Linked DNA regions of Styela clava. Each later gene encodes a partner of the first gene's protein in a complex. Links are inferred from orthologs where the notes say so. Each region holds a gene or a part of one and is shown on either strand. Other genes may lie near its edges.

Region 1 (7,431 bases):
ATATCTGCTTCCTGAGCATCTAATTGATTATGGAAAGTCAGACTCTCCTGTTAAAATAAACACAGTTTATAGACAAGTTCCTTCTTATGTGTGTGATAGAAACAATTCCATTGTCATCTGTTCGACACAAATATTTTGTTTTGAATAATTGATATTTTAATACTCCTTTGCTTTCGCATATGCTTTTATAGGAATAATGAATAAATGAACAATTTTCATTTAATTGAATTTCAAGATAATTCTCTCACAATAAAATGATGAAACTACCTAAAATGATCCTTGCAATCACTGTTTTGCAATTGTACTGTGTAACATTGTTTATTGCAAATGAGTTTCCAACCGGCTGTTTATCACGAATAGGTTCTACTGACTTACGCACCTGTTGTAAATGGGCTTTGATTTTTTCATAAACTTTACTGATGTGATCTGCTTCCTGACTTTTTAATCTTGCTTTATCCAAACGATTTTCCAGTTGTCTTAAATGCTATTGTAATGTAAACATAAAAACAATTCTCAAATATGTTGACACAAGGGTCATATACCAGTGTTTCCATACTTCGTAAAAAGCGTTTCCATAAATTAAAAAATAAAAAATAAATTTGGGTAAATATGGGGGCCAATATGACTCATGGAAAATTAAAACAATATATAAGTAATTATCATCTAGCATCTATTTTCATCTTTAAATACTGAAGATTTGAAATTGATTTGAGATTGATCCCCTTGTTGCGGTGAAAGACAATTTTCCCAATAATAACAATTTAGCAAAATGATGCATGTACACCTCATGTCGTACAGTGAGCATGACTAAGTTTTGCTAAAACTTGAATTCAGACGAATCATAACAAGAATAAAATTGAATATTCATAGATGGATTGATCGATGATTTAACAATTCAAATTCTATACCAGATTATTACTGAAAAGTCAAATTGTATTTTGACATAAAAATGTTCTCATTATCTGTAGGAAATATCGACCAGTATCAAATTTCACAATATCTCTGTATTGGGCATTGTTTGCAGGATTGGAAATGATGTGTGAAGGCTGTGTGAAATAATAAAGATGCTATCATTGATTATTTTCCTTAAGTTAAATAAAACAAATTTCTAATCACAAAAGAAAATTGAACTATTTTACGCATGAAAAAAAATCATATTTACCTGAGCTGATTCACTCTCTCCTTTATCTAACTCTTCAGCAGCTGATTTGTCCTTCACCATCTGATCATGTTGGGTTTGAAGTTCATTCAATTTTCTTTTTCTTGCTTCACTCGTCGATTTCAAAGCATTCAATCTCTTCTTACTGTCACAAACCTGGGCATAATTTTACAAGGTTAGGAGCAATAATACAAATAAAATTACACATGAATTGATAAATTTTAGATTACAATATTACAATACAATATTTTACTAGATTCAAATTAATTTTCTGGTAATACTTTTAATTTTAGGTCAATTCCAACTCATAGCAGGTTTAACTTATTGTAGAATGACTTGGATACAAAGTAGTCACATGCTAGAAAGGCACTTCACAAATCTCACCAAAGAACACCTTTATATTGAAGTTGTATAAAAGTATATTGTCAAAATTGAAAAATAAATAAAATAACCTTTTGATCTATAATCATGATAGCAGTTTTTCCAGACTTGTTACGCAATGCTGCTCGTTCCACATGTCTACCTTCAAATGCTTCATCTATAACTTTATCATCTCCCTGAACAAATCAAAAAGCATGTTCAACAAATTTAAAAAACACGAATGTAATTGAAAAAACATGAGCCAAATTGCACAGATTGTGAAGTTTGAAAACTTTGGAGGTTGTTTTCTAAAAATGTAAACAATGCTAGCTAGAGGATACAGAGAATTCACAAAATATTCTTAATTCTCACACAGAATAGGCTACTTACCGCAAGCAGATCTGCTAATGTCTTGTGCAATGTTTTATTCTCTTGTCTCATTCTCGCGATAATCTCTCTGTTCTTCTTGATTGACCATTGTGAACTTTCATAATAAGCTTTACGATCACCCTCTATAAAAATATAAATTATGAGTTGACTGATCAGTGAGAAAATTTGATCTTTTGACAAACTAAAGTTTAAAATGAGGTTAAAATCAAACCCAGTAGTGAAATCACACTAAATTCAATAGAGCACAGTTCTCTGATTCCAAGATGTCTTAATATTTGGTTCAATAAAACAAACACACAATTTATCTCTGAAACAAGGGCGACAAGGGCCATGCTTGTTTCAATAATTTAAATTTATCATGGCGTTTTTAGCTAAAAACTCTCGAAAGCTATGGTAAAATTTTTTTCAATAAAACGAAAATATGAGGCATTTTTGGATTGCGCTGTCTTTTAGTTTGTTGTGCAGTGCCGGTTTTTCGTCAGTATGGAGGCCCAGACTGTCTCAAGAAGAAATGGGTTGCATTCACTGTTATAATTGATGTCTTTTAATATGGGGACTATCCTTGGAATCGGAGAACTGTGTCCTACTGATATTTGGATTAAAAGAGATAATAAAAAACAATAATACTAAAATATTCTGATGACAAATATATAAATGCAGTGATGATCACTGAGACTTGTAATGAGTTCATTCAACATTCTGACAATTGATCTAACTTACCAGAATTTAAGTGAAAATAAAGTATATCATTGAGTGAAAATAACATATAGGCTACAAATAATTATAATAATGTGTCAGTGTGTAGGGTTTGATACCGCAAAACACCATGATACAGACATACACCATTCTGGACTGCGGTAATTAAAAATTACTAACTTACCCAAAAGCGAAATTTTTTTGGTGATTTCCGATATTTGTTCTTGAATTGGAGGTTTATGCATTCCTGACTGACCTCTCATATTGCTGTTGAGGCGCTGTATTATATCGGTACAGCGATGAAATAAAAGTATAACTTTGAAGTCACAAATATACCTCCAAACAACTAACCGCGCAGATCACGTAAACCAGAATCGTGCCGGTTTAGAGAATGAACACGAAACGTTGCCGGTAGCAACAACTTTGCTCAAACATCAGTGAGAAGTGCTTACCGGAGTCAATATGAAAAGAAGGTGTTAAAGGTGGGTTATCACAGAAATTATTTTTGATGAATTTCATTTTATATATTTTTTTAAAATTTTGACGCTTACTATTTACATAGAGTCGACTTAGTTTTCTACTTATTAATTTCAAAAAATACATTTAACGAAAATCGTCCGCAGTTCAGAAAGGACCTTTGATGACGGGGAACTGAGAATTCCTTCCAGGACTTCATCGCGCATTCGCGAGTAGGATGTTTAACCTCTGTTATTGGCATTTCATTATGGTTTCTCGTTGCGTAGTTTCATAAAGATTGGAACAATAATGCCGCAGGTCGTGCCCTTAGTAAGGACTATTGCTGCAAGCTCTGCGGTAATTTCGAAATCATTATTAACTCCCCGTAAGAAGATCGCCAACTGAGCAGTAACCTTGATGCCAGCATTGATGACTACATGATGCCAGTGCTTTCGTCAAGCGCCAAGGAATACGATGAAAATTTTCCCGCCTTTGCAATTGAAGTCTCCGCTGTTAGACTTCTCAAGTTCTTTGACATGACGAGTTATGGTCTGTCTTGACAGGCTATTTTTGCAAACACCTCTTTTATTTCCGGACGTAAAACATTGGCAACCCGAACAATATATAATATACATTCATTAGCGAATTCTCAATCTGAGAATGGCTTCTATTGTTTTGCGATAACATCATATAGAGTAGTTAAAGACCAAGTGTGTAAGCGGCTATGGCACCTTTATTTATCGATATTTCCTCCAAGTTGGTTTCGATTCGAAATGACCCTAATGTCTCGTTTGCAAGGGCTGGCAGAGCGCATTTCAGGAAAATATACAAATCGTTTGTATCACATCTTTGTATACTACATCACTCAAAAAATAGATTTACTCCAATTTTTTTATCCAATTCTGAAAAATACGGCGCGGGCCACTCAAAATGCTTCCGCTGGCCACGGGTTAGGCGACCCTTCTTTAAAGAAATCTGTAAGGTCCTTGCTAATGATACGAATCATAAGTTATAGAAAACGAATAGACAGACCGTCCGTTCAAAAGCCTTTCTTTAATCCTTTTTGTTAACGATGGAAATAATTTCATATTCTAGTATAGGCTCCAGATAGATTAAATTTTTCTGAGGTTTGCCCAAATACTTCATAAAATTTATAGAATTATTTGCTAGCTTCGATGCAAGATTAGGTCCAAAATTTACAAAGTAAGTGTTAAATTCTTGGCATATGGACTGGGGGTTGTATATGATTCTATGAGTTGTCTCAATTTCGTGTGGAAAATTTCGTTTACGTTTCTTATTGGTGATTGTGTTAATGAGACTCCAAGTCTTCTTTTTGTCGCCCTCTATAGTTCTTTAAATTCTGCTTTGTAAAATTTCGTTTAAGCCTTTTTCTTGATGTGTGAGAGAATGTTGAAGTATCTTTTGTGATACCTTATTTTTGATTTGTCTGTCGACAAAAAATGACATTTATACAAAACGTTTATGAGTCGAGATTAATTTCTTGATATCTATTGGGAAACATGGTTTCGAGACAAATCTCAGTTCTTTGGGTGTTTTTTCCTCAGTGCGGCATGTTTGTCAACAACCGATTTTAGAGTTTCCAGAAGCGTACCGAATGATTTTTCAATATCAAGCTTGAATAAACAGTCAATATTTAATTTAGCTGTTGAGTTTTCAATGTCTTCCAAAAATGATTCAAGGTGGAAGTATTTCAATGATCGCACAAATTTTGTCTCTGAATTCTTTTTTAATGGTTTATTGCGAAGTATACACACTGAAAAGATGGTCAGAAATACCATACCACAAGGCATAATCCAACAACTGTAAATCGTTTTCGTTGCTGTATATATATGTGATCAATTGAGGTGCAAGAGATATCAGTGATTCTGGTATAGGCGCAGTTGTGAACACTTGTAATGAATTAGACAGTAACATGTTTGAGTATTCAAAAACGAAGGAATCAGAAGTTTTGCACAAATTTATTTTAAAGTCGCCAAGAAAGAAAGCTGTTTTCTTGTTTATCATAATTTTGTGCAGCGACTCGTTTAGCAATGTGTGGAATTTTTTGCGAGCTTGTTTGGCATGTCTATATATTTCCGGTACAATCACTTGTTTGCTATTGTTTAGATTGACACTTATCCACAGATCCTTCCAGCCAACAAGATTAAGCTTATATTCATCTGTTTTGAAATATTCAACATAGTCTTTTATGTAAAAACACACTCCCCCGGCCGTTGTTGGAGAATCCTCGTGTATAAAAGAGTAACCTGAGAAGAACTGAATATATACCTGAATAAGATATATATACAGATATACAAAATAAGACTGGGTACAGAATTACAGACAACACCCACATAAAGTATTAAATCTAGATGATTTAAGACAACAAAAAATAGCCTAGAATGTTATTTCACTTTTAAGTATGTTACAGCAGTAGGTCGGGCACAGAGATCGAGTTTTTTTTCAACCTCAATTTGTTAAGTTTACTGTCATTCTAATAATGCAACGACATTCTTTGAAGGTATTGGTATGTTTTTAAACCACTGCGGCGTTTGCCAAGTGCAACTCCCAATAGAACTAGCATACGGTTCGAAATAAGAACACAGAACGCTATGAATGCCTTTAACCTAATGAACAATTATGCCGACGAGGTTTCTGCAGGGTTGATTTTTATAAATGCGTGTCTCGCAAACAAAGTCCACCATACGTAAGCAGTAAACGCCAATATTCTTAAAAAAATATGTATAATTAAATTCGTCATAAAACTTTATCCGTAACAACCCACTTTTCTAAATAGAAATAACGACAGCAACTAGTGACTGTGGTGCATAGTAAAATGCGTCAAAAAGGTTAATAATATAAACGCAAAGTTTACATACCTACTTCACACTCTTCTCGAGAAAATGGGCCCGAAAATGGATCACTTCACATAAGAAAATTTTTGCTTTGCTGTGATTATTCAACAGTAGAAAGTATATTTGCGAGTAGTTTCAATTTACTACCATATTCAATAAATAAATAATTACCTATACTGTTCCAGGAATCTATTACCGATTAGTATTCCCCCTTACATAAAAAGCATAGATGTGAATGTTTTAGAGGAGCGATGCACATCAGCATACAGCAGCATTAGCTGAATTAAAACAATTATCATCATGTGCTATCGATTGGGTGTCTCAGGGACTAACTATTATGTTTCTTTAATTTTTTGTGTCGGTGGATCCGTGTTCATATAGTGCAAGGATGCTGTAGTAAGAGTGAAGATGACTATCCTGAAGAGTCTTGATCGACTTGGGATAATTATCATTCATCATGCTACATATTTTTTTATATTTCCAAATATGGGATACACTTGAATGTAACCAGTGGTGGGATTAAGCCGGTTCGCATCGGTTCTATAGCACCGTCTCACGGAATTTTATGTGATCAGCGAACCGGTTAGAACTACTGGTTACTGTCAATGGATCAATATAAAATAAATATATACACTATACAGCAATATTTTTATTTTTATAGACAATCCTAAACATCATCAAAAATTTTGACAAAATGATGTTTACCCAACCATTTTTTTGAATTGTTAATTAGGGAGTAGTTAAAAAAAATCAGTTTATTTGCCAAAAAAATATGACTTTTTGTAACAGAACCGGCTAAAAAATATGACTTTTGTGATGGAACTGGCTGACAAAAAGTGTGAATCATACCACTAAATGTAACTCCTGTTCTCTTTCGCTTGGATCTGCAGGCTTGTCCATGGGACATATTTTTCTGTCCCATCCCATAGATATGTAAGCCCGTTCCATCCCATTGGAAATATTTTTCAATAAAAAGTTCTAAAATTAGGTTTAGCGTTTACTAAATAGGACTACATGTACAAAGAGACATGCAAAACGACGAAATTCATTGACTTTGTTAAATTGAAAAATTTAGAACTAACTAACAAGAGAGCTATGCTCAAACATATGGACACAAAGTCCATAACGAAATGTTTTGCCATCAATTCCCACAAAATCATACGACATCATGAACGAACCTAAACAGCAACAGTAACTTACCAGTACCTGAACGCTGCGCTTTGTAGCCAATGTCTGCGGACTGACACGTTGGGAAACACTGTTTTAAACAATCACCAACGGTGGGAGCGAGAGTATTCCTGGACCTATTCATAGTGAAACATGAACGATTGATACTAGCTTACGCTAAAGTTTTTTAAACCGAAGCTTTTGCATGTGATGTTTCATTATCCAGTAAGGTTGATGTGTATATCCAACAAACTGCTTTCCCATCTGTATTGAATTAGATCAGTGGTTCTCGAACTTTTAAAAATATTATGCATAAAGGTCCACTTTCAATTTTTCCGATGACTCGCG
Region 2 (5,731 bases), on another chromosome or scaffold:
TGCCCCCCAAACAATGATTTTGACTAGTTTGGCATAGTGACTTCCGACCCTCTGTAATATCGACGTGTCAAGCATCACTATACTGAAAGCAACAGATTGTTAGAAATATTTACACTGCTCTTTCAGAATTGAAAATTCACAGATCATTGATTTTTTATAATTTGTGCAACAAGTTTATTAAGAAAATTCATTGAAATACTTTGCGCTACACATTTACAAAATGTTAAGATCAATATTTTTTTTTCAGATAACTTCCACTCCCACATGATATTAGTTCCAAGGTTTGTCTTGCTTTTCGATATGAGTTGATAGTTCATTTACCGCGTTGCCAAAGAAAATGTGATGGAGAGAACAAATGAAAATACTGGCTGCTTCTACAGCTGCCAATTTTACAGTTATATAAATGTTCAAGTTAAATATCACCTATAATTTTATTTACATATACTATCGCAATAAATAAACACATATATTTAAAACAATAGACTTCTTTTATTCGGAGTAAATGGTATATGCAGGCAATTGGTTAGGAAAAACCAACTTGGCCTTGCTAATAATGTATAGAATGGAAAGGTTTTATTAGTGACTGCTATAACATATTAAGCTAGTAATGTGCTCATCAGGCCTGAATTGTACTAGTACCTCGTCATATATTGCCAAATACTTTTATGCGGAATCTTGTGCAGTTATTTAAGTTCAGAAAATTTTTTCAATGGTTAGTCATACTTTGGTAAAAATTTAAATCTGCTTAAAATGTACTTAGTTTTTGGAGGAGAAATCTGTAAAATCCATTGCAACATCTGCTAGTTTAGCTTCATATACTTCTAAGCTTTTCTCGTCTGGTAGACAGGGTCCGAAAGCTTCCAATAGGAGTTCTTCTGCTACAACTGCTTGTTTGAAATCTGCGAATGAAAGACGACTGTCATGATCAAAATCCATTTTCTTCAATGCTGTTTCAACCAAGTCTTTTACGCCTTCATCTGGATCTTCTTCGGTCGGTTGCTTTACTAAAGAATTTTTCAGCATTTGGAACATTTCCTCACGCGATATGTAACTATCGCCATTAAGATCATACACTTTGAAAGTATAATCAATTTTTTCATCAAGTGTTCCTCTCATGAAAACAGATAAACCTTCAACCCATTCTTTTGTGTTGATGTAAGAGTCACTGTCTGTGTCAAATGCTCGAAAAACACGATCCATAAGTAGATCTTCTGTCATACTGAACCAAACTTGCAAAAAATCTCGAAATTGGTTTCGATCAAGTTTTTCGCCTTTGTTGTTGAAACCTTTGAACAACACAAGCAAGGCTTGGACTTCTCTTCTATTGAAGTGAAGTGTTGGTGCACCTTTGCAGATATCATCTGCATCTTTTTGTAGATTTTTCCTATTAAGTCCATTCATGATATACATTATGTCAAATACACAATATCTTAACTTTAAATTTCTACTTCATTTTCATACTAATGACTCTGTAAAAGAACAGGACATAGTTTCGTTTCAAAGTAAGATTTTTGACCTTTTCCTATCTTCCATTTTTTTTTTACAAAAACTATCAGGAGCATGAAAGCTTTAGAATGGAAGTCAACGAAATTGCTGTAATATTGAAGCGGTGGTTGATTTTTGGTAGATCTATGATGATTATGAACAATAATTTTGATCATTCATACCTACTTAGGTCTAGAGTCACAGAACACTTGAACATATGTTGTTGGGAGATGGTATGGAGGTATACAGATATTTCGCACCGCTGATTTTTCCGGCCACAATGGTTGGTTTGAGTTGTGATTTTTAGTCACCTTGTGAGTTGTTTTTAACAGTACATGTGGAATTGTAGGATAGTTGAGGCTGATACTATGGTAAACAAATATCAATAAATAAGTCAACATATACTTGTAGGCCTAGACTATATTATTATTTTTAAAAAACTCCCAATGCACTGAAAGTCAAAATCACAACTCCTTATGTGGTACCAATAGATTTTGTAATAAATAATTTGCCCAGTCATGATATACGTTGACTGGAAAAACATAAAGACCAAAAAGGCGACTTTCACAATCCAGTTTTTAATGGAGCTTTCTTGTCAGGAGAACAGCTGCCAAAATGCACGTTTCATAGTTAACTACAAAACAGGGGTGGACAACTGTGAAGGCAGTGCCAGTTATTGACTGTACTATTCAGATGGTAATTATAAAGCAGATTCTGAATTGCTATATGTTCAACAACATACAAAGCATTGGGCAGTTCCGCGTGCGAGCAGATTATAGGTTAACGTTAACTGTTATGAAGATAATGTCAAGAACATCTCTATTGCTGACAGCCTCTAACACAGTTTTATCATTCTTTAATATAGTAGGTGATCACGAAATGTTAAACCAACAAATAGTAACAGCCATTCCATTGGCATTTTCGGAACAAAATATGTACAGACGTATAACGTAGTCGATAAACTTAGACTACTTACTACACAGCAATGCTGGAAAGCAAGAACGCGGCGATGCTCGTATCCAAGGAAACCATGTAATCACTAGGTGGCACTCGTGAGATATTGAGAAAAAACTTGAGATGTAGATCAACCGTAAATATGATCAACCAACAAAAACAGTACAAGCCAAGCGTTAGTGTGCGATATCTTGGGGCACTAGGGTTGAAATATTTATTTCAAAACTATGAAAAAATACTTTTTCGGTTATTCAATATAAGTATCTTTATGTATAAGTACATCACATGGCCATAAGCAGAAATTCCTTGTTAGGGGGTTTTCATCGAAACTAATTTTACCAAAACTAAATGCAATGACCATTAATTTTTTTTATTGAAATCCATCCCATTTTTTCACATTTAATATAACAATGATTGTTATATCGTCGGTAGTCATTAGTAACTTTTGTATAAGCAAAATTTCAAATTTATGTAGGAGTTTTCATGACTTGTTCGGTCACGTTCGAAATTGACGTCCCTATTTCATTATATGCTACATCTATTCTATATTCATTCCTGATTTGGTTTTCTTTCTGAAGTCTTTGTTATTATTATTCACGTATTGCCCATGTGCTGATTATTTTGTCATGCAAACAACGACTAACATACCGTGTGCATACCATACCATATTTGGGGAAATAAAATCTCTGCAAATTTACCATTTTATTTCAAGCCATATTCTGATGTTCATGTTCTCACTCGTGGTGGCACTGCAGAGCAATTTACTCACAGTTTCGTTTTCGCTTGACGTTGTGCTGTTCTAGTTCCTTCGCTGTGTGCTAAAACTGTTATCTGGGTACACTGCTTGTTTCAGTATTCTTGAGCTTTGTCAGAGAAAAAACATTGTGTGAGGTGATGGAAGATTCTGAGAACGTGCCTGTGAAAAATTCAGAGGTAAGTTTGCTGTCTATCTAAGTAACCTAGGCTATATTTCTGTGTTTTTAGACTACTGGTACTACAGTACTAAGATTTCAGACTCTTTTAGTCTCAAAGTGTTCTATTCTTGTACGGTACCTTATTCAGTACTGCAATACGGTTAGTCAGCAGTCGAACTACAAAACTGAGCTTAGTTCAATAGATATCGGTTTTCATATTTTATTTATTCAAAAATCTTGTAATTGTCTACTTCTGTACTTTGTAATTTTGTTTTTTTGATAAATGAAAATAAAATCCATCCCCCAAAATAATCCCTAGTGTTATTATTTGAAAAAAAATTGGTATAAGACCTTGTCCTAAAAAAACATGGTATGCTATTTATGAATTCATTCTTTTTAAGTACGAAGTACGATTGTTGTGATGTGTTTTTTCCAATTGTTTGAGTCTGGGTGAATAAGCACAAACAAACAAACAATAGGCTACAAATATTACTCTAGGTTTTGCCCATTTTCACGATCTTTCCGTCTTCATTGTCTGTGTTCTTTATTTATTTTTTTATTTGTATTCTGTGTTGTAGACGAAAGATTGAAATAAAACTATAAATAACTTAAATAACGAGTTGCACATTTAATAACCTATTATGTTCCCAGTTCAGAATGGCACATTTGTATTTATATGTGACAAAGAAACCCTTTAATTCAACTGTCACTGTTAATTTTGTTTGTACTGATGTATATCTCACTTGACTATAACTTAAGGTCAAGATGGAGAATATTGGACAAGGACATCAATTTACAGATGATGAATTGCTTAACATGAGTGTGAGAGATCTTAACAGAAGTTTACGAAACCTGACACCAGAGGTAGTATAAAATCATACTTCATTATAGCAAAACAGATTTTAAAAAGAGAAACGTATGGACAAAAATACAGCAAGTAGACCTGTTATGTTAGGAAAATATATAAAGAATAGAAATTTAGTAGTTTCTATACCAGTGTTTCTCAAACTGTGTGCGGCACACTAGTGTGCCATGAGAGATTCTCAAGTGTGCCGCGGAGCTTTTTGGAATTCTAGAAAATAAGCTGTTTGTATTACACATAGACATGCACGCAACTTATGAGATTTGATAATCCATAATTAATTAGACTGATAATATTATTGCATTTGCCTTGTCTTGTAGTAAGGGGTATTGTTCCAGTATACTTGCGTTGTGATGTGATAATGTTTTTTGTAAAAATGATATCCACCTTCCACTATGTTCAATTGAGCGTTGAGTTAGGCCAGTGGTCGGCAAAATTTGTGTACCTGCGGGCCGAATATACACATTTCCCGTTCAAATGACGATCTGTCAAGCGAGTACGAAGTTTGCAGACCCCTGAGTTAGGCTAACAGGAAAGCCAGTTTGGTTGAGTTTTGGCTATCTGCTAACAAATTCTATTCAATCATCGGTGCAAAATCCATCAAAATAATCTATCCATTTGCATCTACATGGCTCTATTAATCTGTATTTTCTGCTCTGGCTGTAATCAAAAGCAAAAAAGGGAGCGACGGACCCTCGTTTGAGTCGTTTCTCAAAACAGGCACACACATCGCATTAACATTTGTAGAATAATTTGTCCAAGTCTAGCTCAAATTTTTCACAAGTGTGCCGCGAGATTTTTCTTATTTGCTGGGTGTGCCGTGAGCAAAAAAAGTTTGAGAACCACTGTTCTATACGTTCAATATTCATTATAAAGCACTGTATATAATAAACAGCTTACCACAAGGCTTACTCTTGTAACCGTATATGCTGCGTATTGGAACATAGCCTATCACTCCGAATATTGCTGATCTTGATAGACTTCAATGATCATTTTTTTTAGAACATAGATTTTAAAAAATTTGTGGACCCAACTGTTTATTTATCAGTCATCTACATTTCATATTGGAAATTTTGAAGGTTTGCTTCTGATGTGGAAACTTGGTCCACCTTAATGTTTAGGAATGTGTTACCTGAAGTAGGGCAGTGTCAGTGATATGCTAAATGGATTTCTTATGATGCAAATTGAAAATATATATCAAAATATTTTTTCATAGGAAAGTAGGAGATTAAAACAGAGAAGGCGAACATTGAAGAATCGTGGTTATGCAGCATCATGCCGTATCAAACGATTAACACAGAAAGATGAACTGGATTTACAAAGACAGAAGCTGCAAAAAGAGGTTGGCGCGAATAATGATTATCCAGATTAATATATATATATATAACTTAAATGTCAAAATATATTGAATATTCAACCACCGGTACTACTTTACTGTATCAATAGTAAATTTTGCAGAAAAAACGTCAATTTGACTCGATTTGCAAGTAGAGATGTACCGATACCACTTTTGTCA

What was found.
Region 2: outer dynein arm-docking complex subunit 3-like (region 1) and calaxin-like share a complex: the UniProt entries of both Homo sapiens proteins name them as parts of the outer dynein arm-docking complex. The link is inferred for Styela clava from reciprocal best matches to the Homo sapiens genes ODAD3 and CLXN.

Annotation. Positions count from the first base shown.
Region 1 is NC_135254.1:24,000,994-24,008,424, reverse strand, and holds the start of outer dynein arm-docking complex subunit 3-like, read right to left. Parts: upstream 3,018-7,431; 5' UTR 2,869-3,017; coding exon 2,790-2,868; intron 2,032-2,789; coding exon 1,910-2,031; intron 1,717-1,909; coding exon 1,612-1,716; intron 1,316-1,611; coding exon 1,163-1,315; intron 485-1,162; coding exon 380-484; intron 48-379; coding exon 1-47. UniProt on the Homo sapiens protein: Component of the outer dynein arm-docking complex (ODA-DC) that mediates outer dynein arms (ODA) binding onto the doublet microtubule. Involved in mediating assembly of both ODAs and their axonemal docking complex onto ciliary microtubules.
Region 2 is NC_135260.1:14,792,975-14,798,705, reverse strand, and holds calaxin-like, read right to left. Parts: upstream 1,490-5,731; 5' UTR 1,411-1,489; coding exon 757-1,410; 3' UTR 503-756; downstream 1-502. Other genes in the region: NFU1 iron-sulfur cluster scaffold homolog, mitochondrial-like, read left to right, coding at 248-268; transcription factor MafK-like, read left to right, coding at 3,334-3,372, 4,113-4,217, 5,432-5,557. UniProt on the Homo sapiens protein: Component of the outer dynein arm-docking complex (ODA-DC) that mediates outer dynein arms (ODA) binding onto the doublet microtubule. Seems to regulate the assembly of both ODAs and their axonemal docking complex onto ciliary microtubules.